2 linked regions of the Stegostoma tigrinum genome follow. The protein of the gene in region 1 purifies or fractionates together with the protein of each later gene. This does not show direct contact. Links are inferred from orthologs where the notes say so. Each region holds a gene or a part of one and is shown on either strand. Other genes may lie near its edges.

Region 1 (7,501 bases):
TAAAACACCAACCTGAGGCAGGAACCCCTTTGACATGTGAGATGCTGGGTAATTATTAGCAGTTCTATTTAAACCTAAATAACATGATGTGTAAAGAGCTCACTAAGATGGACCTCAGGAGATTGTTGATGGGGACATTACAGAATTATGTTTTATGGGTAATGAAAACATGGACAAAGATTTCCGTGTCAGTAACAGGTGAGACAATGATAGAAGACCAATATTGTAGCAATGGAATAAATAAAATCTGAAAATGTTGGAAAACAGAGCAGTTAAGAAAGGTGATGTGGCAGGTGTTGCATGACTGGCTGACCTTTTCCAACATTTTCTCTACTGTAAGGAACCGTATATTTTTCCCTTTTGCACTGTAAACTCAAATGGAAGTTGGACCACAATATAGCTGAAATATTAGAGTTTTGCAATTTAGAAAAATTAAGTGGTGTACATTTTTGACTGTGCAAGAGAATTTTGCAGTTGGAGCAATGAGTTTGATACATTATTCAATCTGTGTGGCACAAGGAATTTTTGAGGTAGGGAAAATCAGCCTGGTGACAGCCTTCATATTGTTCAAGTAAAATCAGAGTAGCCAGAGACCTCCAAGCCAACGAACTGAAAACATCTCTTTCCCCTTCTCGCAGTACAATTGGAAAGGAAATAAAACCAAGAAAACTTAAAAGAAAGAACTTTAGTATAAAAGACATGGGTCCACCAAATCAACCATCAAATGAACAATGAACATCGCTTTACAGACAGCAGTGTGTCAATGTTGCTGAACCAGAAAGCGGTGGCATGGTGGCTCAGTGGTTAGCACCACTGCCTCACAGCCCTACGATCCCGGGCGACTGTCTGTGTGGAGTTTGCACATTCTCCCCATGTCTGTGTGGATTTTTGCTGGGTGCTCTGGTTTTGTCCCACAGTCCAAAGATGTGCAAATTAGGTGGACTGGCCATGCTAAATTACCCATAGTGTTCAGGGATGTGTAGGTTAGGTGCATTAGCCACGGGAAATACAGGGTGACAGGAATAAGGTGGTTGGGTCTGGGTGGGATGCTCTTTCAAGGGTTGATGTAGACTGCAATTTTCTGCTTATTAAGGTGAAAGTGACGAGTGGTGTACTGCAGGGATCAGTGCTTCGACCCTACTATTCACAATAGCTGAGAAAACTAGGTGTCATATTTCTGATGAAGCGTCTAGGCCCGAAACATCAGCTTCTGTGCTCCTAAGATGCAGCTTGGCCTGCTGTGTTCATCCAGCTCCACACTTTGTTATCTCGGTGTCATATTTCCAGGTTTTCAGATGACACAAACCTGGGTAGGAGGCTATGTTGTGAGGGGGATGCAGAGAAGCTGCAGTGCAATTTGGAGTAAGTGTGCATGTGACAGATTGAGTATAATGTGGATAAATGTAAGGTAATAAAACTTTGGTAATAAAAATAGGAAGGAAGATTCTTATCTGAATGACAATAAATGGGGAAAGAGATGCAGCAATGAGACCTGGGTGTCCTTGTGCAAAGTCAAATGGTCTGCTGGCCTTCACAGCGAGAGGATTTGAGTACAAGAGCACTAATGTCTTGCTGCAACTGTACGGGGCATTGGTGAGACCACACCTGGAGTATTGTTTGGTTTTGGTCTGCTTATCTGAGGAAAGATGCTCTGGATGAGGAGGTAGTGCAAAGGGGGTTTAGCACACTGATTCTTGGGATGGACAGACTGATGAGTGGGGAGATACTGGATCAGTTGGAACTATATTCACAGGAGTTTAGAAGAACAAAGGGTATCTCCTAGAAACTTATAAAATGCTAACAGAATTAGACAGGGTATATACAGGAAGGGTGTTCTTGATGGCTGGGGAGTCTAGAACCAGGGTTCACAGTGTAAGAATAAGAGAAAGATCTTTTCAGACAGAGATTAGGGGAGGTTTCTTTCACCCAGAGTGGTGAGCCTGTGGAATTCTCTAGCACAAGAAAGCCTTGAGGCCAAAACATTGAAGACTTTCAACGAAAATCTGGATACAGTTCTTTGGACTGAAGGGATCAATGAATAGGGGGAAAAGGCAGGAACAGTGTACTGAGTGCCCTTGCACCAATTCGACCACAGCACTTTCTCCAAGGCAGTTAGAAGTAGGCCAGCATTTATTGCCAATTTATCATTGCAGAGGTAAAGATAAGCGAAGGTAAGGTCATCACAGTCTTGCTGGACCAACAGTACTGCTCTCTAATTGGACAGAGATGTTGGCATTCTGAATTTGGAATTTGGATTTGCACGTATTTGGAAAGGCAAGCACCGATTAGGGATAGTCAACATGGCTTTGTGCGTGGGAAATCATGTCTCACGAATTTGATTGAATTTTTTTGAGGAAGTGACCAAGCGTATTGATGAAGGCAAAATAGTGGACATTGTCTATATGGACGTCATTGAGGAGTTTAATAACGTTCCACATGGTAGTCTGGTTAACAAGGTTAGATCGCATAGGATACAGGACGAACTAGCCATGTGGAGACAAAATTGGTTCAAAGGTAGGAGACAGAGAGTGTGGTTGGAGGTTTGCTTTTCGGATTGGTTGCCGGTGACCAGAGGTGTGTTGTGTGGATCAGTGCTGAGTCCACTGTTATTTGTCATTTAAATAAATGATTTGGATGTGAATATAATGTGGATGTGAGATATGGTTAATACGTTTGCAGATGACCCCAAAATTTGTCAGGTAGTGGACAGTGAAGAAGGTTGCCTCAGTACCATGGGACCTTGATCAGATGGGCCGATGGGCTGAAGAGTTGCAGATAGAGTTTGATTTAGACAAATGTTAGGTGCTCCACTTTGCTAGGACAAATCAAGACAGGACTTGTACACAATGCTAACGTTCTGGAGTGTGTTGCCAAACAAAGAGACCTTGGAATGCAGGTTCATAGTTACTTGAAAGTGAAGTTGAAGGTAGACAGGGTAGTGAAGAAAGTGTTCGCTATGCCTGCTTTTATTGGTCAATACATTGAGTACAGGAGACAACAAGGTGCAGAGCTGGATGAACACAGCAGGCCAAGCAGCATCAGAGGGCTAGGGGTCTAAGCCCGAAACGTCAGCCTTCCTGGTCCTCTGATGCTGCTTGGCCTGCTGTGTTCATCCAGCTCTGCACCTTGTTGTGTTGGACTCTCCAGCATCTGCAGTTCCTACTATTATAGAGTACAGGAATTAGGAGGTCATGTTGCAGTTGTGGAGGACATTGGTCAGGCAATTTTTTGGAGTATTGTGTTTGGTTCTGGTCTCACTGTTAATAGAAAAATGTTACGAATCTTGAAAGAGTTCAGAAAAGATTTACAAAGACATTGCCAGGATTGGAGGGTTTGAACTACAGGGAGAGGCTGAACAGGCTGGGACTATTTACCCTGGACCGTCAGAGGCTGAGAAGTGACCTTATAGAGGTTGCTAAGATCATGAGGGGCATGGATAGGGTGAATAGACAAGGTCTTTTCCACCGGGTAGGGGAGTCTAAAACCAGAGGGCATAAGTTAAAGGGAAAAGTTTGAAAAGGAACTAAAGGGCAACGTTTTCAAGTAGAGGATGGTGTTTGAATGGAATTAGAGGACATACAATTAGAGGTACAATTACAACATGTAAGAGGCATCTGCATGGGTATAGGAATAGAAAGGGTCTAGAAGGAAATAGAAAGAACTGTAGATGCTAGAGTCAGAGCCAATACAGTGTAGAGCTGGAGGACTATCGCAGGTCAGGCAGCATCAGAGGAGCAGGAAAGTCCACGCTTCAGTACTGGACCCTTCATCAGGTGGAGAGGGACATGTGCTAGATTAAGATATCTGGTTGGCATGGATGAGTTGGACTGAAGGATCTGTTTCTGTGCTGTACACCTCAGTGACTAGCGGCGGTTTAACTCGATTTGTCACCATAGTAACCTCAGCCTCTCTTGGCATCACATAAATCAACCAACTGAGCTAACCGAATACCACCCCCTTCCTTAATACCGGCGTACAAGTATTATGAATGAATAAAAACAAGCATTTCTCTATTTCGAAAAAAAAACAATCTCATCTCATCTCCCTTTTTGTAAAGCAAGACTATACCTATTTTCACAAATTCCTTCTCACTGCCATGGTGATTGTCAGTGGACTATAAAACGCATGCGCATTTGATGGGCGGGGACGAACCGATGATTGACATGAACTCCAATCTAGTGCCGTCACCGCGATGGTTGGTTGGCGATTGGTTAGGCCGTTCGTCAATCACCGACAGTCGCGCAAATATAGCGGCGCTGTCACGAGCTGGCAAAGAGAAGGCGGGGATAATAGGAACCGCCAACGCCGGAGATTTCGAGATAACAAGGTGGAGAGCTGGATGAACGCAGCAGGCCAAGCAGCACTTTAGGGGCAGGAAAGCTGACGTTTCGGGCCTAGACCCTTCCCGAAACGTCAGCTTTCCTGCCCCTAAGATGCCCCTGGGCGTGATGTCTTCATCCAGCTCTACCCCTCCTTATCAAAGAGCAAGCGGGTTCGGATGGCTGCTGATCGAGGCAATAAACTAGTAATGCGAAGCCTGTGGCGCATGCGTGCCGGGGGTGGCACGGTCCGTTGATGATTGACAGTCCGGAGACCCACCCCCCCTCCTTTACGCTTCTGTCGATTGGCTGACCGAGATATCAATCTTCAAGGCTGTGCATGCGCTTTGACGAAGTTGGAGCTGCGGCTGGTACCGGAGGTTTTGGGTGCGGGGAGGGCCGTGAAATTATCTGACTTTTTTTTCGATGTGATGAGCTTTTACGGTAGGATTTTAATTTTGCACTAAGCTAGCATAAATTTTAGCCTTGACGGCACTATTTATTTAATCGTTAACCATTAAACCACGGTTAGTCTCCGAGGAGCGATTTTGCGAAGTCAATACTTTGTTTCTGTCGAAGTCTAGGCTAGGCCTCAGATCACGCCTGGGGGAGGGGGCTCCTTCTGGCTTCTCGCTTAACTTTTAATGTTAAATTAGACAGAGGGGTGGTTTATACTGGAACTCAGTATCTCTTTTTAAGTCGGTGCAGGGATTTGTTTATTTTTAACTGAATCCCCTGGTTAGATCCGGGTTCGTGTTGAATGAGTGGAGCTGAATGAGTCTGATCAAAGGCCTGTTGCTGTGTGACTTCCATCGAGTTTAACCATGTTTCACCAGACGTAACGCTACAGCGAAGATCACTGAAAGGCTCAGCATGTTTGGAATTTATGAAAAGATCGATTCTCTTTTTTGTTTAGAAAAAGCTGTTAGGGAGCTAATATTTCGGAGGAAGTAAAGGGATTTGAGTTATCATACAGTCACACAACATGGAAACAGACCCTTCGGTTCAACCATAATGGCCCTTGCTGACCATAACCCCAAACTAAACTAGTCCTACCTGCCTGCGCTTGGCCTAAATCCCTCCACACCTTTCCAATGCACGCACTTATCCACATATCTTTCAACAGTTGTAACTGTACCCGCATCTACCACTTTCTCTGGCAGTTCACTTCACACATGAATGGCACTTTTTTAAAAAGTTGTCCCTTATGTCCTTTTTCTTAAAACCTTTTTCCAAACCTTTTCCTCTTACCTAAAAAGTATGCCCCCTTGACTTGAAATTCCCTGCCCTAGGGCAAAGATACCTACTATTCACCTTACTTGTACCCCTCATGAATTTATAAACCTCTATAAGGTCATCCCTCAACCTCGCACACACCAGTGAAAAAAGTCTTAGCCTGTCCTTATAACTCAAATCCTCCAATCCCACAATCCCAGCAACATCCTGGTAAATCTTTACTGAACCCTTGCCAGTTTAATAATATCCTTCATATAAGAGTGACCAGACTGGACAAGATACTCCAGAAGAAGCCTCATCAACTACAATATGATGTCCTATCTCCTATACTCAAAGGTTTAAGCAATGAAGGAAAGTATGCTAAATGCCGCCTTAACCACCCATTCGATGCAAACTTCAAAGAATTACCTGAAATTCTAGATCTTTTTGTTCTGCAACACTACCCAAGGCCCTGCTTTTATCTGTATAAGTCTTGTCCTTGTTGTTTTACCAAAACGCAATACCTCGCACTTCTCCAAATTAAATTCCATCTGCCCATTGACCCAATTGGTCAAGATCTCTTTGTAATCTTAGATAACCTTCACTGTCTACTATATGACCAATTTTCTTTCACTAGAAATAACTTTACATCGATTTCTAATGCTTTTTTTTCCTTTGATATATTAGAATATGAACTATTAAGTCAAAGTGTTTAGATATTTTGGAATCATCTAGTTATTTTTAAAGTCTGGAATGGAATTGTCAGGCTGAAATTTGATTAATCTGCAGATTGGATTTTTTTGTGCTGTGCTGCTTAATTCATTGTATCAAATTTGAAAATTATGATTTTTATATGTATAATTATACTTTGCTAGTGTAGTAGTGGCTACATTTGAATAACTGTGCTTTGAGAGGCTTATGATAAATATAAAATTCTCCCCTCTGTCAAAATGATGTATGTGTTTAATGTGTTCTGACATTAAGCATTTTCTACATCTTGATAAGTGAAGACTTAGATTTTGGATAGTTTTTTTGCATTACTATAATGTATGTATTACTTAATTGCTGACTACTTGCTTGCTGTTTGATGAATGATTTTAAAAAGGATTTGGCCGGGTTACAAGTTGTTGATTTGGCTGATTATAATAGTCTGAGATACTTATTCAGGCAGACTTGATACAAAATGAAAGATTGCTTTTGGAATAGTTTATTTTGGCTTCACCAGGGGGAAACCAAATAAAACTGGAGAATAAAATGCCTCAGCAAAACATAACTCTTTATTTAGAAATAAGAACAACGTAATCAATCTTGATAATACTTTTTCCAGTACTTTCAGTACCTAGAAACTTCAGCTCTGAAATTTTATTTGCTGGGTACTTGTGTACAAATGCTTTCATGCATTAGTTTAAAATGTGTTTCTCCACTGCATCAGTAAAGTTGTTAGTCCATTTATTTAATACTTAAAGTAGACGAGAATGAATGAATGAGCAAAAACAGCTTGAACAGAGAACAGAATGGAAATTGAGTGCTATGCTAATGCAAGGCATTATTCTAACAGCTAGAGTTTCTCCAGTAGTTCACACACAATCTTTTTTGGTTCAGTTGTATTTATTGCATTTTATTGTTTCTCTGCAGGTGATCAGTAGAAGATGGTGTCAAGGACTCAAGATGATGAATTCTATCTAATCGCAGGCGTTGATTAAGCTGAATACATTGTGATTTCCAATAATTGAGACAGTGATTCTAAAAGCTGTCTACTTTAATGAAAAGAACAATGTAGTCAGCTTAACTGAATCATCTGTAAAATTTGCTTAGTACCATAACTTTTGAGAAAATTTACTCGGACTGGCATATGTTTCTTTCTTAGTTGGGTATTTGACTAAGATATAATTTGTTTAGGACTCTTTATAGCTTAGAATTAATAAGTTTCGAAAAATGGAGACGTTTGGAAGCATGCCACCTATGCC
Region 2 (7,558 bases), on another chromosome or scaffold:
AATTACTGCCTTCTCAGTCTACTTTTGGTCATCAGTAAAGTGATGGAAGGTGTCATCAACAGTGTTATTAAGCAGCAGCAGCTCAGCAATAACCTGTGCAGTGATGCTCAGTTTGTGTTCTGCATGGGCCACTCAGAACAGCCTTGGTTCAAATATGGACAAAATAAATGAATTCCAGCGGTGAGGTGAGAGTGACAGCCCTGATATTAAGGCTGGATTCAACCAAGTGTGACATTAAGGAGGCCTAGCAAAACTGGAATCAATCGGTATCAGGGAGCAATCTCTGGTGATTGGAGTCATACCTGACACATAGAAACATGGTCATGATTGTTGGGGGTCAGTCATCTCAGCTCCAGGACATCTCTGCGGGAGTTCCACACATTTGTATCCTAGGCTGAACCCATCTTCAGCTGCTTCATCAATGACCGGACCATCATAAAGTCAGAAGTGGGGACGTTCGCCTATGATTGCACAATGTTCACAACTATTCATGACTCCTCACGTACTGAAGCGTTCCACATTCAAATGCAACAAGATGTGGACAATATCTAGGCTAGGGCTGACAAGTGGCAAGTAACATTCACGCCACACACATGCCAGGCTGCAGGAATACTGCAACGGGTAACTCATGTCCTGACTTCCCAAAGCCTGTTCACCATTTACAAGACAAGTCAGGAATATGATGGAATACTCTCCACTTGCCTGGATGAGTACATCCCCAACACCGTTCAAGATGCTTGACATCGTCCAGGACAAAGCAGCCCGTTTGATTGGCACTACATCCACAAGCATCCACTTGCTCTACTACCATTGCTCAGAGCAGAGGTGTGTATTATCTACAAGATGCACAGCAGAAATTGACTAAAGATCCTCAGACAGCATCTTACAAATCTACGAATACTTCCATGGAGAAGGACAAGGGCAGCAGATACATGGGAACACCACTACCTTCAATTTCTTCTCCAAGCCACTCACCATCCTGACTTGGAAATATATCACTGTACCTTCATTGTCGCTGGGTCAAAATCCTCAATCCAGAGCAGGTGCTCTGCAGTAGTTCAAGGAGGCACCTCACCACCATCTTCTAAAAGGCAACTAGGAACAAGCAATAAATACTGGCCAGTCAGTAATGCCCACATCCCACAAATGAATAAAAAAAGTGGAGAGATTGTTTCCCTTTCTGTCCAGGTCCAGAGGGCATAATCTCTGAGCAAGAAATTGCCCATTTAGGACAGAGATTAGGAAGCATTTATTTGCTCAGTGGCTAGTGTCATAGAGTGTTACAAGTCAACAGCTCAGATAAAGGCTGAGTCTGTATTGGTCAAAAACAACTGCCTAACTACACTAATGTCACTTTTCGGCATTTGGCCCATAGTCTTACAAGCCTTGACATCATATGTGTACATCGAAATACATCTTCAAAGTTATGAATGTTTGTTCCTCGAACACCTTTACAAGCAGTGAGTTCCAGATTACCATCACCCTCTGGATGAAATAAAATTCCTCACATTCCCTGTAGGCATCCTGTCCCTTATTTTAAATCTATGCTTTAAATCAGTCATTGATTCCCCCAGCAAGGGGAAAAGTATTCTCCTGTCTATACCCCTCATAATTTTAAACATCTCATTTAATAGCACACTGTCTCCTCTTCGAGGAAAACAAACCATTCTATCCAATCCCTCAGAATCATACAGTCAAACAGCATGGAAACAGACCTTTCATTCCAACCACTGCATGCCAAGCAAAATTCCAAAGTAAACTAGTTCCTCCTGCCTGCCTTTGCCTATCTCCCTCCAAGAATTTTGATTCATATCCTTAGCCAAATGTCTTTTAAACATTTTAATTGAACCGCATCCACCACTTCCTCTCAAAGTTCATTCCATACATGAACCAATCTCTGCTGAAAAAAAATGATCCTCATGTCTTTTTTAAAATCTTTCCCTTCTCACCTTAAAATATGCCTCCTAGTCTTGAAACCCCCCCACTCTAGAGAGAAACCTTTCAGCTTATTCATATCCGTCGGGATTTTATAAACCTCTAAAAGGTCATTCCTCAACCTCCTACGCTTCAACGAAAACTGTCCCAGTCTATCCAGCCTCTCCTTTTAACTCAAACCTTCCATTCCTGGCAACATCCTGGTAAATCTTTCCTGAACCTCTCTAGCATAATAATATCCTTCCTTTAACAGGACACAGTGTTCCAGAAGAAGCCTCACCGACATCCTGTACACCTTCAACATGACGTGCTAACTCCTACAGTCAAGAGTCTGAGCAGTGAAGATAATGAATCCCTCCTTAACCACTCTGTCTATATTGGACGCAAACTTCAAAGAATTATGGACCTGAACTCCTAGGTCTCCATTCTACACTACTTCTGTATACAAGTACATAACTCATGAAAGGTGGTTGGACATGTTGAAGAAAACAGTTAAAGTATGTGGGCGGCCCGGTGGTTAGCATTGCTGCCTCACAGCGCCAGGGACCTAGGATCAATTCCACCCTTGGGTGGGTGATACCCAAGGCCCATCTATTAATTGTATAAGTCCTGAACTTGTTTATTTACCAAACTGCAATACCTTGCATTTATCCAAATTAAACTCCATCAGCCACTCCTCAGCCTATTGACCCAATTGATCACGATCTGTTTGTAACCTGATGTATCCTTCTTCACTATCCACTATACCACCAATTTTAATGTCATCTGCAAACTTACTAACCATACCTTCTGTATTCTCATCTAAATCATTCATATAAATGACAAACAAAAGCGGACCCAGCAACAATCCCTGTTGAACACCGCTGGTAACAGGCCTCCAGTACAACAATCAACTCTCTCCGCCACAATTCTGTGTCTCCTGTTGTTAAACCAATTTTGTAACTAATTGGCAAGCTCATCATGAATCCCATGCTATCTAACTTCACTAATTAGTTTACCATGCAGAACCATGTCGAAGTAAAAAGTCCAAGTAAACAATGTCTATCACTCTGCCCTTACCAATCTTCTTGGTGACTTCTTCAAAAAACTCAATCAAGTTCGTGACACAAGATTTCCCTAATGCAAAAATATTGCAACACCCCCTCCTCTTATCTTCTTGTGTTTTGTCTGAAGACCCTAGACTCTCCAGTATTGAACTGTCAATTCTGCTCCTGTCTCAACCATGTCTCAGTGATAGCAATTAAATCATCCCCCCTTGTTTTACTTCATGCAATCAACTCATCTGCCTTATAAGTCAGACTCTTTGCATTAAAATAAATATCATCCAACTTTGCCAAGCTCCCTTGTGCCTTAACTAGCATATAATTTCTATGGATTCCTGACTTCCTTGCTATCTCTTTTGATTTTGGTTCCCCATTGGACTTTCTCTCTGGATCGTACTGCTCTGCCAAGTTAGTTTAAACACTCCCCATTAGCGCTAGCTCACCTGAATCTGTACAATTCTTTACTACATATGGCTGTTGCAGCTGCATTAGTAAGTATATTCAAGTCGGACATGTACAGATTTTTAATCAGTAAGGATATGGCAGGAAAGTGGAGACAAGAAATATGAGATTAACCATTTTCTCAATGAATAGCAGACCAGAGTCAATAGGCCAAATGTCCTACTTCTGCTCCTACAACTTATAGTCTTACTCCCTGTTCCTATGACCTGCAGTGGTAATATGCATATAGCAAAAACTTGTATTAACATAGCACCTTTAAAATGATAAAAACATTCAAAGTAAGTTGGCAATAGTATTACAAAGTAAAATGATGCTGAGCCACAAATAAATCTCCTAAAGGAGAAAAGATAGATGGAGATAGAGGGTATTCTGAAGTTCAGGGCCTTGGCAACTAAAGGCAGGCCATCAGGAGAGGTATGATTAAAATTAAAGATGCCCAAGTGATCAGAATGGAAGAATGCAGACTTCTCAGAGGAGCATGAAGCTGTAAAAGATTACTCAAATATAGAATTCTGCTGTTAGAGATTAGAAAATGTTTGCCAAATGATTCTTCCAGTACTTACTTAATACAAATGAAGTTTTAAAAAGATAACACAGAAGGAAACTTTGTAAATCAGCTTTGATTGATGTACAAATATACCAGACATTTGGTTAAACAATATTTTACATTAATGGAAAATAAGTTGAAGAACAGTCAAAGAAGGTTGCACACAAGTCCACATCTTTGACATTGCATGAACGCAATATTTTTAAAATAAACACAGGTAGTAAAGCAAATGAACATGATTATCAATACATCAAACGACGGATATCTGTGTTGCTTTACATCTCAATGTGAAACAATTTATTTACTCATTCAGGGTTAAATGATAGATTTTTACGTTTCGTTTGTTGTTAGGAACGTTGTCTTGTAAGGAAACCGAAATATTTATGTTCGAAGCATGCACAAACAGAGGGAGGTGTAATTATACCTTTTGCTTCTTCGATGTTTGAATATATATTATAGGCCCTTTAACTTCCGAGTTCCCATCTAAGGCACGTGACGTTAATTGTGTACCGGTCGTCCAGTTTCCTGTGCTCGAGCGCTGGGAAGTTGACGGTTGCGCCTGCGCGCGGCTCCGCGAGGACAATCCTGCTGGAAAATGAGTTCCAGGAAAGGTGAGGGGAAAAAAATAGGAATTAACGCGTTTGTCCACTAGTCTATTTAAACGTCAGGCACTTTTCTTTTTAGAAAGGAACACATCACAAATAGAAACAAACCTCCTTACATTACACGATTGCCTGGATATTTTGTTTTGGTTGTTAAGTGCTAGGTATATTTAAAATTATATTTATATAATTTCCTCCTTGTTTTCCGTCTTGTCTTGTCAGTCCTGGCTATTCAAGCTCGAAAGAGGAGGCCGAAAGGAAAGAAAGAGAAGGCTCATAAAAAGTGAGTAGTGCAGAGTGTGGCTTGTGTAAATTGATGCTGCTTCTCTGCTCTAGATGTTTCGGGATCTGCTAACGGCGCTTTGGTCTTGGGCAGAAAAAAAGCTTTATTCATTGAATGATGGCATAATTTTTAAAAAAAACTCGATATTTGTGCTTATACACTATTGCATCCTCCGTGATGTTTATTCCATTGCTTGGTCCTAACATACGTTTTTAGAAATGACGGCCTTTTTGTTGGCATTTTGTCTAATCTGGGCTTGACCGAATTTGGTTTAAAATATCCAGTGTAAGTTAATTGTTTTGAGAAAGTGCCATCAACTGTAATCAACTGTTAAGATGAAGTCTGCTTTCTTCGGTGTGGATAGGAGTTTTCTTTGTAAACTATTGACATTCTCATGTAGTTTTGAGATGTGTGAGCCATTCAGATTGGATGTGCATGTTATGTCACTTCGGTATGATTACTTGATGATCGTTTTGTCTCAAACATAACAGCTCCTGTTTTTAATTTGTATTGTACTGTATATTTTGTTAACATTGATTTAATGTTCTATCTCTTCCCACTATCACTTGGCCCTGTGCTGCATCACATAGTGGAATTATCCACTGAGCCATGAGGGAGTGATGATGATTGGTTTGGTACTTGATGGAAATTCATTTAGTTCTATGGTAACTGCATTTGTGTCTGATGCCTGTGCATTTCCTTAATATTTCAATTTTCATCCGTTCCATGCATGACCACACAATAAAGAGAGGAGGCAAAACTTTTGTCCTGGAGGAGAGATTGAGTATTATTGGTATTCATACTGATGACATTTCACTCTTGTAACAACAAATTAATTTTGTATACAAGTCACTGAATGCCAGTAACTTGTTTGATTCTAAATTTGAGGCTCATGTAGTTTCAAAATTTCGTGCTAATTATATTTGTAAATTTGTGGAACATCTTTGCTTCTAAAGCAACAGTGAGAAGATTTTTTTTCAGTGCATTGTTGCACGTGTGTGTTTGTGTTCTAGGGGTGAGCTTCATTGAATCAATAGTTTAATATATTCCTGGCATTGTTATGGTGCTGAATAAAATATTCATCCATTGACCAACGAGGTATGAATAAATTCACTTTGGCTCGAAGTTGGACCTTTTTAATGTTTGAACCAAACTGGTGTGTAACTAGTACCTTTTTAATCAGAACAAATTAAAGTAATAAAAGTGCAAAATACTGCTGATGCTGCAAATGTGAAATAATAACAGAGAATGCTGGAAATACTCCTCAGGCCTGGCAGCAACTTTGGAGGGAGAAAGAGAATGCCATTGACTTTAAGCATTAAGTCAATTCTGGGGAAAAAAGTCAGACATTTTTGGTTTTAAACAAGTGTAGAAGTGGAGGATGGTTGCCAAGTGCAAGAGGAATGTCCTGTGGCTAAATGGAAGACAGAAACAATTCAATGATGAAAAGACTAGTGGTACTAGGTAAAAAGAGATGTCAAGGAAATAAAGATGAATCTATTGTAGGTGTAAATGGGGGGGAGGGGAGGCGGGGGTGAGGTCACTGGTGCAGCTTTTGCCTGCTCTTAACGTTTCCAGCATTTTCTATCTTTTTTTCATGTTTTCATCCTTTTTTTCTTGCTATTCCAATATCTTTTATTGGTGTTGCTTCTTGCTCAAATCAAGAATTATGTAAGTGATCAGTTGCGAACAACAGGCTTTAATTAGGTGATATGAATTTGCTTAATGTTTTGAGTTCTTTAGCTTAGGTCTTGCTGTTGGATTACTTTTATATTGGCGTTTAGGTTGGAATCTGGATAGCTGATATCAAAAATGTGATTAGAAATAATATTCTCACTAAAGAATGCCAGATCCTTTAGTTGGTGTTTCCCACCCAGAAATTCAAAGCAAGTTAGTATGAAAATTGCAGATGCTAAACCATAATCTTCCTGATCTGTCTTCATTCAGGAATTCTTTTAGGTTTGAGAATTGAAAAAAGAACTCCATAATTTAAGAGGTGAGAGAGCAACCAGAAAATTATAGACCTGTTTAACATTGGTTGTGGGAAAGTTATTGCAATTCGTAATTATGCTTGGGAGAAATATAAACTTAGAGAGTCATAGCGTCATACAGCATGGAAACAGATGCTTTCGTCAACCGTCCATGCCGAACATAATCCCAAACTAAACTAGTCATACCTGCCTGCTCCCTGGCCCATATCTGTCCAAAACTTTCCCATTCATGTACATATCCAAACATTTTAAATGTTGTAATTGTACCCACATGCACACTTCATCAGAAAGTTCATTCCACACGTGGACCACCGTCTTTGTTTGAAAAAAAATTGCCTGGTCTTTTTTTAAAATCTCTCTCCTCTTGCCTTAAAAATTGCCATCCTAGGCGTTAACACTATCCACGCATAGAACATAGAACAGTACATTACAGTACAGGCCCTTCGGTCCACAATGTTGTGCAGGCCCATTATTCTAATAAGATCAATCTATCCTACATACCCTACATTTTACTATCCTCTATGTGCCTATCCAAGAGTCCCTTAAATGTCCCTAAAGTCCACAATGTCCCTTCGGTCCACAATGTTGTGCAGGCCCATTATTCTAATAAGATCAATCTATCCTACATACCCTACATTTTACTATCCTCTATGTGCCTATCCAAGAGTCCCTTAAATGTCCCTAAAGTATCTGAC

The links. Proteins that work in one complex are often made in the same cells at the same time.
Region 2: the proteins of dgcr8 (region 1) and srpk2 purify together in Homo sapiens (affinity purification with mass spectrometry; 3 studies listed by BioGRID and IntAct, with this or other methods). This does not show direct contact. The link is inferred for Stegostoma tigrinum from reciprocal best matches to the Homo sapiens genes DGCR8 and SRPK2.

Annotation. Positions count from the first base shown.
Region 1 is NC_081379.1:5,877,166-5,884,666, reverse strand, and holds the start of dgcr8 (microprocessor complex subunit DGCR8), read left to right. Parts: upstream 1-4,466; 5' UTR 4,467-4,763; intron 4,764-7,169; 5' UTR 7,170-7,469; coding exon 7,470-7,501.
Region 2 is NC_081378.1:22,540,335-22,547,892, forward strand, and holds the start of srpk2 (SRSF protein kinase 2), read left to right. Parts: upstream 1-4,501; 5' UTR 4,502-4,582; coding exon 4,583-4,598; intron 4,599-4,811; coding exon 4,812-4,872; intron 4,873-7,558. UniProt on the Homo sapiens protein: Serine/arginine-rich protein-specific kinase which specifically phosphorylates its substrates at serine residues located in regions rich in arginine/serine dipeptides, known as RS domains and is involved in the phosphorylation of SR splicing factors and the regulation of splicing.